Linked DNA regions of Macaca mulatta. Each later gene encodes a partner of the first gene's protein in a complex. Links are inferred from orthologs where the notes say so. Each region holds a gene or a part of one and is shown in the gene's direction. Other genes may lie near its edges.

Region 1 (4,523 bases):
GAACATTGGAATAGACAAATGGGAACAAGGGTGTGAGTGAAGCTTTTCACTATGTAATCATTTATAAAATGGACAGATTGATCGGCTGACACTACAATTCTTTTCAGTGTTGTAATCCTATGAATCATGTCTAGAATATTTAAGCTATTGATAAAAGACCAGCATCTACAAAAATTTTAAGTTTTCTTATTACTGTTAATTTCATCTCCAGAATTTAGTTCTTAGTTTTGTTCAGACACATTATTTAAATAAATCAGCCTCAGTGCTAAGGTGCGTATGAATTAAGCCATACTAAGTAGGTACACGTTGAAAATAAAGAAACAAGTCAGAAGCCCCCAAGAAATATATTGGCCAAGTGTATTAGACTATTATTTTGGCTAGTCAAACACATTATAAAAGCCTACTGTAAGAAATGAAATAAAGATCAGATGTTGCTTTCGATAACCTTTTACTTTAGTATTCTCAGCAATGTTGGTAAATATTTATTAGCTGATAAATTATGTGGCAAATGTTCTACAAAAATTAGTTAAATCGGATTACATGTATAGAGAAAAACTGGCATTAAAAGTACATTAGGTTGTCATTTTAGGATAAGTCTATTGAGCATTTCGTCTTCTGGTTATTATATTGATAATTTGAATAATGGAAAGTAATTTTTTTGGTTGTGCGCGGTGGCTCACGCCTGTAATCCCAGCACTTTTGGAGTCCTAGTTGGGTGAATCATCTGAGGTTGAGAGTTCAGGACCAGCCTGACCAACATGGAGAAATCCCATCTCTACTAAAAATACAAAATTAGCCAGGCATGGTGGCACATGCCCGTAATGCCAGCTACTCAGGAGGCTGAGGCAGGAGAATCGCTTGAACCGGGAGGCGGAGGTTGTGGTGAGGCAAGATTGCGCCATTGCACTCCAGCCTGGGCAATAAGAGTGAAAATCTGTCTCAAAAAAAAAAAAAAAAGTTTTTGGTTTTTTTTTTTGCCTACTAATAGCCTAGTTTTTAAGAACAGCTTTATTTAAGTATAATTTATACCTGAAGTTCACTCAATTTAAGTGAACAATTCAGGTATTTTTTTGCAAATGTACAGACTTGTGCAACAATTACCACAGTCTAATTTTAGAACATATATGTACCCTAAAAAGAAACCATGTACCCATTCATAGTTACTCTTTGTATCATTGGTTTATCATACCTAATGATGTATATAACTTTGTATAACTACTATAAAATATGATAAAAGTAAGTACTATGCAATTTCCAAAATTATTCAGCCTTGTAGGTTTGTTTGTTTTGAAGACTTGGTAATTTTGAACATGGACATTTTCTTTGATGATATTTCTTTATTTGGACACCAAAATTATTTAATAGAAGAAAGAGTATGAGGGGATTGCTTTTGGGAAATGAGTTTTAAAATTTTCTTCTTGTTTGGAGTTTACAAATGAATTCATGAACAGAAGAACGTCATTGAATGTAAAATTACAAATTTAAAGATTTCAATTCAAATAATTTAGTAGGGAAATTTATAAAGTCATTCAGATAAGACAACGATTTTATGTAATAATATTTTGAAAACATTAAATAATTTGTCATTCCTTTATTTCCTTTATTTTAGCTTCGCAGAATCAAGAACGGCTATGTGCATTTAAAGATCCATATCAGCAAGACCTTGGGATAGGTGAGAGTAGAATCTCTCATGAAAATGGGACAATATTATGCTCAAAAGGTAGCACCTGCTATGGCCTTTGGGAGAAATCAAAAGGGGACATAAATCTTGTAAAACAAGGCAAGTGATACTTTCCTTACCTGAAATGACTGTGTTTTATACAATTGATATTTATCTAAAAAGGACATGGGAGTACGTTAAAATCCTGTTCAGAAAAACAGTGAATTTAAAAGTATATATATAAAGCTGGGTGTGGTATCTCATGCCTGTAATTCCAGCACTTTGGGGGGCCGAGGTGGGCGGATCCCTTGAGGCCAGGAGTTGGAGACAAGCCTGGTTAATAACATGGTGAAACCCCATCTCTACTAAAAATACAAAACTTAGTTGGGTATGGTGGTGTGTGCCTGTGGTCCCAGCTACTTACTCAGTAGGCTGAGGCAGGAGAATCACTGAACCTGGAAGGCGGAGGTTGTAGTGAGCTGAGATGGCACCAGTGCACTCCAGCCTAGGCAACAGAGCGAGATTCCATCTCAAAGAAAAAAAAAGTGTGTGTGTATGTGTGTATCTCTCTCTCTCTCTCTCTCTCTGTCTCTCTCTCTCTCTCCAAGCCCCAAATTTATAAAAGGCTGTTTATTTTTGGATTATTTTAAAAACATCTTTCTTATAATGTTATACATGCCCATTCTATGAATTTTGGAATATATAGAGAACTATAAAGAAAACAAAAGTCTACAATAATATACTCTTTAAAAATACTTTTACTGTATTTATCTTCTTCAGTATTTAAAAAGTATTTAAAAATACTTTTACTGTATTAGTTTATCTATCTTCATTTTCCACATGCCTTTATGTTTTTATATGCGTGTACTTTTTAAAAAATTAGGAACATACTGTATAAATAATTTCATATCCAGTTTTCTCCACCCTAATTATAAGCATTTTTTCCATGTCTTTAAAGAATCTCTGAAAACCTTTTTAACTTTTGCACAACTATCATCGTATATATGTATCATAGTTTACTTACAGATTATTCTATTGGTAAACATGTTATTTTCATGTTTTCACTGTAATGCAGAGTGAAACATGGTTGTTCAGTGAACAACTTTGAACATAATTGATTGTATGTGATTGTTTCCTTGAAATAGATCCCTTGATGTAGAATTATTAGGTTATAAGATATAGCAATATTTTAAAGACTCTGTATAAAAATTTCCATGTGGCTTTCTAAAAGTACTGTACTGTTCATTTATATTTCCTCCAACACTGTATGAAGGTGTCTGTGTTACTGAATCATTTCTCTGATATATATTATTTATTTATTTATCTATTTATTTATTTTTGAGACAGAATGTCACTCTGTCGCTCAGGATAGAGTGCAGTGGCACATTCATGGCTCACTGCAACCTCGACCTCTTGGGCTCAAGCAATCCTCCCAAGTCGGTAGGACCACAGGCAGGCACCACCATGCCCAGCTAATTGTTGTTTGTAGAGATGTGGTATGGCTGTGTTGCCCAGGCTGGTCTCAAATTCCTGGGCTCAAGTGATCCTCCTGCTTTGGCTTCCCAAGGTGCTGGGATTCTAGGCGTGAGCCACGGTGCCCAGCCATATTATTTTTTAAACCTAGAACAATATACTTTGTATAGACAAAAATGAAACCTTACTCTTGCTTTAATAATTCTTAGCTGGGCGTGGTGGCTTACACCTGTAATCCCAGCAGTTTGGGAGGCCGAAGCGGGCAGATCACCTGAGGTCGGGAGTTTGAGACCGGCCTGACCAACGTGGAGAAACCCCATCTCTACTAAAAATACAAAATTAGCCAGGTGTGGCGGTGGTGCATGCCTGTAATCCCAGCTACTTGGGAGGCTAAGGTAGGAGAATCGCTTGAACCCAGGAGGTGGAGATTGCAGTGAGCTGAGATCGCGATATTACACTCTAGCCTGGACAACAAGAGCGAAACTCTGTCTCAATAAATAAATAAATAAATAAACAAACAAATAAATAAATAAATAAATCTTAGATTAATCACGCAGTTAAACATGTTCCTTTTTCCCCCCATGAAATGTCTTTTGTATCCTTTACCATTTTTCTGTTTCTTAAAAATGTGTTTCCCGTTGATTTGCAAAACTGCTTCATAGCTTACATGTACTCTCACATTTATTGAAATTACTGCTTAGTTTGTTGTTTTTCTTTTAGTTTTCTTTATTGTATTGTCTCCTAACTTTTTTGTATTCATATTGATTTATAGGATGTTGGTCTCACATTGGAGATCCCCAAGAGTGTCACTATGAAGAATGTGTAGTAACTACCACTCCTCCCTCAATTCAGAATGGAACATACCGTTTCTGCTGTTGTAGCACAGATTTATGTAATGTCAACTTTACCGAGAATTTTCCACCTCCTGACACAACACCACTCAGTAAGTAAAGTAACTAACTTTTCTTTGTATTTCCTTTCTCCAAAGATTTGCAAAATAGAAAAAAAAAAACCATAAAAAACATTCAAGGTTGAGGCCGGGCATGATGGCTCATGCCTGTAATTCCAGCACTTTGGGAGGCCGAAGTGGGCAGATCACCTGAGGTTGGAAGTTTGAGACCAGCCTAGCCAACGTGGTGAAATCCCATCTCTACTAAAAATACAAAAAATTAGCCAGGCGTGGTGGCACATGCCTGTAATCCCAGCTACTCAGGAGGCTAAGACAGGAGAATTGCTTCAACCTGGGAGATGGAGGTTGCAGTGAGCCAAGATTGAGCCATTGCACTCCAGCCTGGGCAACAAGAGTGAATCTAAAAAAAAAAAAAAAAAAAAAAAAAAAAAGTTCAAGGTTGGTAGGAGTAAGAGGTAGAGTTCCAGCATCGTAAGATTA
Region 2 (5,019 bases), about 91 Mb from region 1:
AACTGGGCAAGGGTCCGGGGCGCCCACGTGGTGGGAAAGTTTCGAGGTAGCAAAAGTAGCCGGGCATTGCGGGGGGTGGGAGGGGAGGGGAGGGGAGGGGAGGGGAGAGGGCCGGGTCGCCCCTCCTTCTCGCGAAGGCAGAAAGGAAAAAAGCGGTGGGAAGCGGGGGTGAGCGCGGGGAGCGAGCAGCCCCAACCTGAACAGATTCCGCCTTCCCCTCCTCCCCCCACCCCGGGAAGCCCGAGCGGGGAGGCACGGACCGTCTCCTCTCGCACGGGCAGGACGACACCCTCCCTCCCCCCCTTTTTTCTGCCAACGTCTATCTCAACGCGCGCGCACATACGGAGATTGTGCGGCTTTTTTCCCCCTTGGGAGAAAAAACGGGGAGAGTAAAGGAAGAGAGGGCAAAGAGAAGAACTCCTCCTCGGCGAGCTCCGCACTCCGTACCGCGGCTCGGCGCGGGGACGCCGCCGCCGCCCGCCCGCTCTCTCCCGGCCCTGCGGCGGGTGCCAGTGCGAGCGCGAGCGAGGGCACCGCACCCGGGGACGCTGCGAGACTTTTCGGCGCTCGAGCCGACCTCGCGGCCGCCGCGGCAGGCAGAAGAGACAGGGGCGAGAAGGGCCCTGCCTCCTCCTCGCCTTCCTCGCCCGGAGCCCCGCGCCCGGCCGGGCCGCGCAGGCAGGCGGAGGGAAGGAAGGAGGGAGGCTGCGAGGAGGCGGGCGGAGCAGAGGCCACGGCGAAGCGCGCTGCGGCCGCCCGCCCGCCCGTGGATGCGGCGCCCAGGGAGCCTGGAGACAACTTTGCCGTGTGACGCGCCGGGAGGACTGCAGGGCCCGCGGCCGAGGGCTCGGCGCCGCCTGTGAGCGGGCCCGCGCGGCCGGCTCTCCCGGGCACCGCGCTTGCTCCGCGCCACTGCCCGCCGGCCCGCGGCGAGGACGACCTGCCCGTCTCCGCCGCCGGCGGCCCTTCCCGGCGCGAGGCAGTGAGGGCGAGGCGCTCAGGTGCGAGCGCGGGGCCCCGCCGCAGCGCCCGCCGCAGCGCCGCGCCAAGCCGCGCCCGGCTCCGCTCCGGGGGGCTCCAGCGCCTTCGCTTCCGTCTCGGCCAAGTTGGGTGGACCTGCTCTTTCGCCACCTTCCCCGGCCGCCGGCCGAACCGCCGCTCCCACTGCCGCTGCTTTCGCTTCACCCGAGCCGGGGCTGCGGGGCCCCCGACGCGGAGAGGATGGGGAGAAGGCTGCAGATGCCGAGGCGCCCCGAGACGCCCGTGCAGCAGTGACCCGCGACCTCCGCCCCGTCCGGCGCGCCCCTCGGGCCCCCGGGGCCCTCGGCGCCCCTTCCCCGCCGCGCGGGAACCCCCGCGGCCCGGCCGGCCCCCTCCCCCTGTGAGCCGGCGGCGGCCCTCCCGGCAGGCGGGCGGGCGGAGGCCCGGGCGGGGGCGGGGCGGGGCGGCGCGCCCGGAGCCCGGAGCCCGGCCCTGCGCTCGGCTCGGCTCGCCTCGCGGCGGGCGCCCTCGTCGCCAGCGGCGCACCATGGACGGGCTGCCCGGTCGGGCGCTGGGGGCCGCCTGCCTTCTGCTGCTGGCGGCCGGCTGGCTGGGGCCTGAGGCCTGGGGCTCACCCACGCCCCCGCCGTCGCCTGCCGCGCCGCCGCCACCCCCGCCACCCGGAGCTCCGGGTGGCTCGCAGGACACCTGTACGTCGTGCGGCGGCTTCCGGCGGCCGGAGGAGCTCGGCCGAGTGGACGGCGACTTCCTGGAGGCGGTGAAGCGGCACATCTTGAGCCGCCTGCAGATGCGGGGCCGGCCCAACATCACGCACGCCGTGCCCAAGGCCGCCATGGTCACGGCCCTGCGCAAACTGCACGCGGGCAAGGTGCGCGAGGACGGCCGCGTGGAGATCCCGCACCTCGACGGCCACGCCAGCCCGGGCGCCGACGGCCAGGAGCGCGTTTCCGAAATCATCAGCTTCGCCGAGACAGGTGGGTCCGGTCCTCCGGCTGTCTGCCGCGGTCCCCGCTCGCTCCCGCTTTCCCTCTCCTTGCCAGCTCCGGCTGCTGCTGCCGCCGCCGCCGCCGCCGCAGCCCGCGCGCCCTGGGGGCAGCCCGGACTCCCGGTAGGGCTCCTTCGGCCGTGGCCCTGCGCGCTCCGCCCGGGTTGCAGTCCTCTTCCCCCAGGCCGCAGACCCCCTTCCTGGTGCCTCAACCCCCCGCCGCCGAGCGCCTGGCCCTCCACCCCTGCTCTCCGGAATCGGGCCCCAGCGCCTCTGGGCGCGCGTCCCCCTCCCGGCAGATGCGCGCGGCCCTGGCTCTGCGGGCACTTGGTTGGTGATTGCTTAATGTTTTTGTTTCCCACGATCGGAGTGTAGGCTCAGCAGTGTGGATGGAGATGTGTGTGCTTGTTGATATACGTGGGCCGGAGGAGAGAGAGAGTATGTGTGTGTCTGTGTGTGTGTCTGTGTGTGTGTGTGTGTGCCTGCGTGAGAGGCCCCTGGGGCCGCTTCCATCACCGGCGGCGTGGGCTTGCCAGGATTGCTGAAGCCTCGCTGGGGAGAGCTAGGCAACCTCTCTTCCGATTGTGTGGGCACTGGAATCGGGCGGAAGGCAGGCTTCTCAACAGGTCCATCATTTACACAGAGAAAGCCGCGGCTCGGGGACAGCCCCGTGCCTTTCGGCTTGCCTGGCAGCTGCAGCAGACCCCTCGCCCGAGAGGCGCAGAGTCGTAGTTAACAAAGGGTATGGCTCCTTTCTGGAATCCGCACCCCCCCACTCGGCCCCAGATTGCAAATCTCTAACACTGTCTAAATATAAAAATCAGGGAGAGAAAAATCTTTCGGAACTTTAAAAGAAGAAGAAAAATGTGCCCGCGCCAAAATGCTGCAAGTGCTTTCGACTCCGCTGTCCTTTTCAGGACTTGAATGAGCCAGGCTGGCTTTTGTGCCTGGAGCTCGGCCCCATTTGTGCCGAGGGGACTGCGGAGAAGGTCGCAGAGGGGGAAGCCCCGGTGCAGTCAGGGCGGGGGCAAGCGGGGAGCCTGGGTGGGGGGAGCGGTTGTGCCCCTGGCTGTAAATGCCCCCCACCCCCCCAGGCAGCAGGCAGCCTGGGGATGAAAAGGGATGAAAAGTTTTGCATGGCCGGGTGTGGAGAAAAGCAGAGACAATCGGGGCTGGTTTGTGCTTAGAAAGAAATGCATTGCCGTTTTAGCTGTCCACTAAAGTGAGTCAGGGAAAGCTCGCCATGCAATTAGAGGGCTCGGATTAAAAGGTGCTTTGGGGCCCAGAGTTAGAAATGTGATTCTGGAAGGTCGAGGAGGCCTTTTGGTCCCGGTGGCACAAAATGACAGCGGGGGCTGTTATATTTCTGGTCCGTTTCACGGAGCCAGCTCTTTGACTTATAAATAACAGATTCAGGTCACAGGCAGCTCGTCCAAGACCAGCTTTTAAGGCTGCAGTTTCCCCCATTTCAAAGTCAGATGTCAGTGTTATTAGAGGAGCCAGGCGAGGCCTGAGGTGTAGGGGCTTGGGAGGGGCATGGTAGGAGGTTTGATAAAACCAGCCCTGACCACAGAGTTTCGTTATTTGTTCTTCCTGGAAAAAAAAAAAAAAAAAGGAAAGGAAAACGTAGATTGTCAGAGGGAAGGGTCACTGAAATGTAGGATGAGAGGGGAGTCATCTCTTGATTGGCACAGCCTCCTTCTTGTTGAGCTGAATTATTGAGAAAATTAACAAGCTAGTTCCCCTACTCCTTGGAGATTTTGAACGTGCCATTAACGGGGAGCCAGAGTCTTGTCAAAGGATTGGACCTCAAGTTTTAAGGCTGAATGTCCTGTCCCTTGAAACTACTCGGAAATAAGGGCTAGGCTCTGCAGCCTGCAAAGCACGCGTTCCTATGTCAGAAACCTGAGCAGAGCCTGCTTGTTTGCAGTGGAGGTTCCACTGGGGGTTGGATCAGATCATACTTAGGTAAACACTGGAAAGAGGCAGTAGGTGGCTCAGCTTGATTTTGCAATGCACTAAGTTAACCAAAAAAAAAAAAAAGAAAAAAAGAAAAAGCCCTACTAAAACCACCCACCCCAAAATCCTCCCTGCGATCCTGGTTTTGTTTTTCAGATTTCACAGATACCCATAACAACTTGTTAAGATCTTGGCCCCCTGACAAGTTCTTCTGTTGTGCTTTGAGGCCTGACAGCCTGTCTCCAGGGAGCCCTGGCCTGGGAGAGGTGAGGCAGGATTTGATAGGCCCGGACCCTCCAGCCCTAACCTGGTCCGGGTTTCTCAATGGGAAATGATTTTCTCTGCCTCTCCCAGGTTACAGTCAGAGGCCCTGGCCCCAAGAACGGTATTTCTGGTCAATAACGTTTTCCAGCTGTGTGGCGAGTTGCATTCCAGCATCCTGCAGCAGAGAGTGCGTTTCCCCCATTGCCTCGTGTTCCCCTTGAATTAACTTGGCTCGCTCTTCCCCTTTTCCGCAGATGGCCTCGCCTCCTCCCGGGTCCGCCTATACTTCTTCATCTCCAATGAAGGCAACCAGAACCTGTTTGTGGTCCAGGCCAGCTTATGGCTTTACCTGAAACTCCTGCCCTACGTCCTGGAGAAGGGCAGCCGGCGGAAGGTGCGGGTCAAAGTGTACTTCCAGGAGCAGGGCCATGGTGACAGGTGGAACATGGTGGAGAAGAGGGTGGACCTCAAGCGCAGCGGCTGGCATACCTTCCCGCTCACGGAGGCCATCCAGGCCTTGTTTGAGCGGGGCGAGCGGCGGCTCAACCTAGACGTGCAGTGTGACAGCTGCCAGGAGCTGGCCGTGGTGCCGGTGTTCGTGGACCCAGGCGAAGAGTCGCACCGGCCCTTCGTGGTGGTGCAGGCTCGGCTGGGCGACAGCAGGCACCGCATTCGCAAGCGAGGCCTGGAGTGCGATGGCCGGACGAACCTCTGTTGCAGGCAACAGTTCTTCATTGACTTCCGCCTCATCGGCTGGAATGACTGGATCATCGCACCCACCGGCTACTACGGGAACTACTGTGAGGGCA

What was found.
Region 2: the proteins of BMPR2 (region 1) and INHBB are in contact, whole or in part, in a crystal structure (PDB 7U5O), measured with the Homo sapiens proteins. The link is inferred for Macaca mulatta from reciprocal best matches to the Homo sapiens genes BMPR2 and INHBB. Residues at the interface, in NP_001195.2 of Homo sapiens: Tyr40, Tyr67, Leu69, Val80, Lys81, Trp85, Ser86, His87, Ile88, Gly89, Asp90, Gln92, Ile108, Gln109, Tyr113, Phe115; in NP_002184.2 of Homo sapiens: Phe309, Asn318, Asp319, Ile322, Ala323, Pro324, Gly326, Tyr327, Tyr328, Thr379, Met380, Ser381, Met382, Leu383, Phe385, Asp386, Asn390, Ile391, Val392, Lys393, Asp395, Ile400.

What each region holds. Positions count from the first base shown.
Region 1 is NC_133417.1:107,675,611-107,680,133, forward strand, and holds part of BMPR2 (bone morphogenetic protein receptor type-2 precursor), read left to right. Parts: intron 1-1,609; coding exon 1,610-1,780; intron 1,781-3,905; coding exon 3,906-4,076; intron 4,077-4,523. UniProt on the Homo sapiens protein: On ligand binding, forms a receptor complex consisting of two type II and two type I transmembrane serine/threonine kinases.
Region 2 is NC_133417.1:17,126,534-17,131,552, reverse strand, and holds the start of INHBB (inhibin beta B chain), read left to right. Parts: upstream 1-1,431; 5' UTR 1,432-1,528; coding exon 1,529-1,976; intron 1,977-4,464; coding exon 4,465-5,019. UniProt on the Homo sapiens protein: Inhibins and activins inhibit and activate, respectively, the secretion of follitropin by the pituitary gland.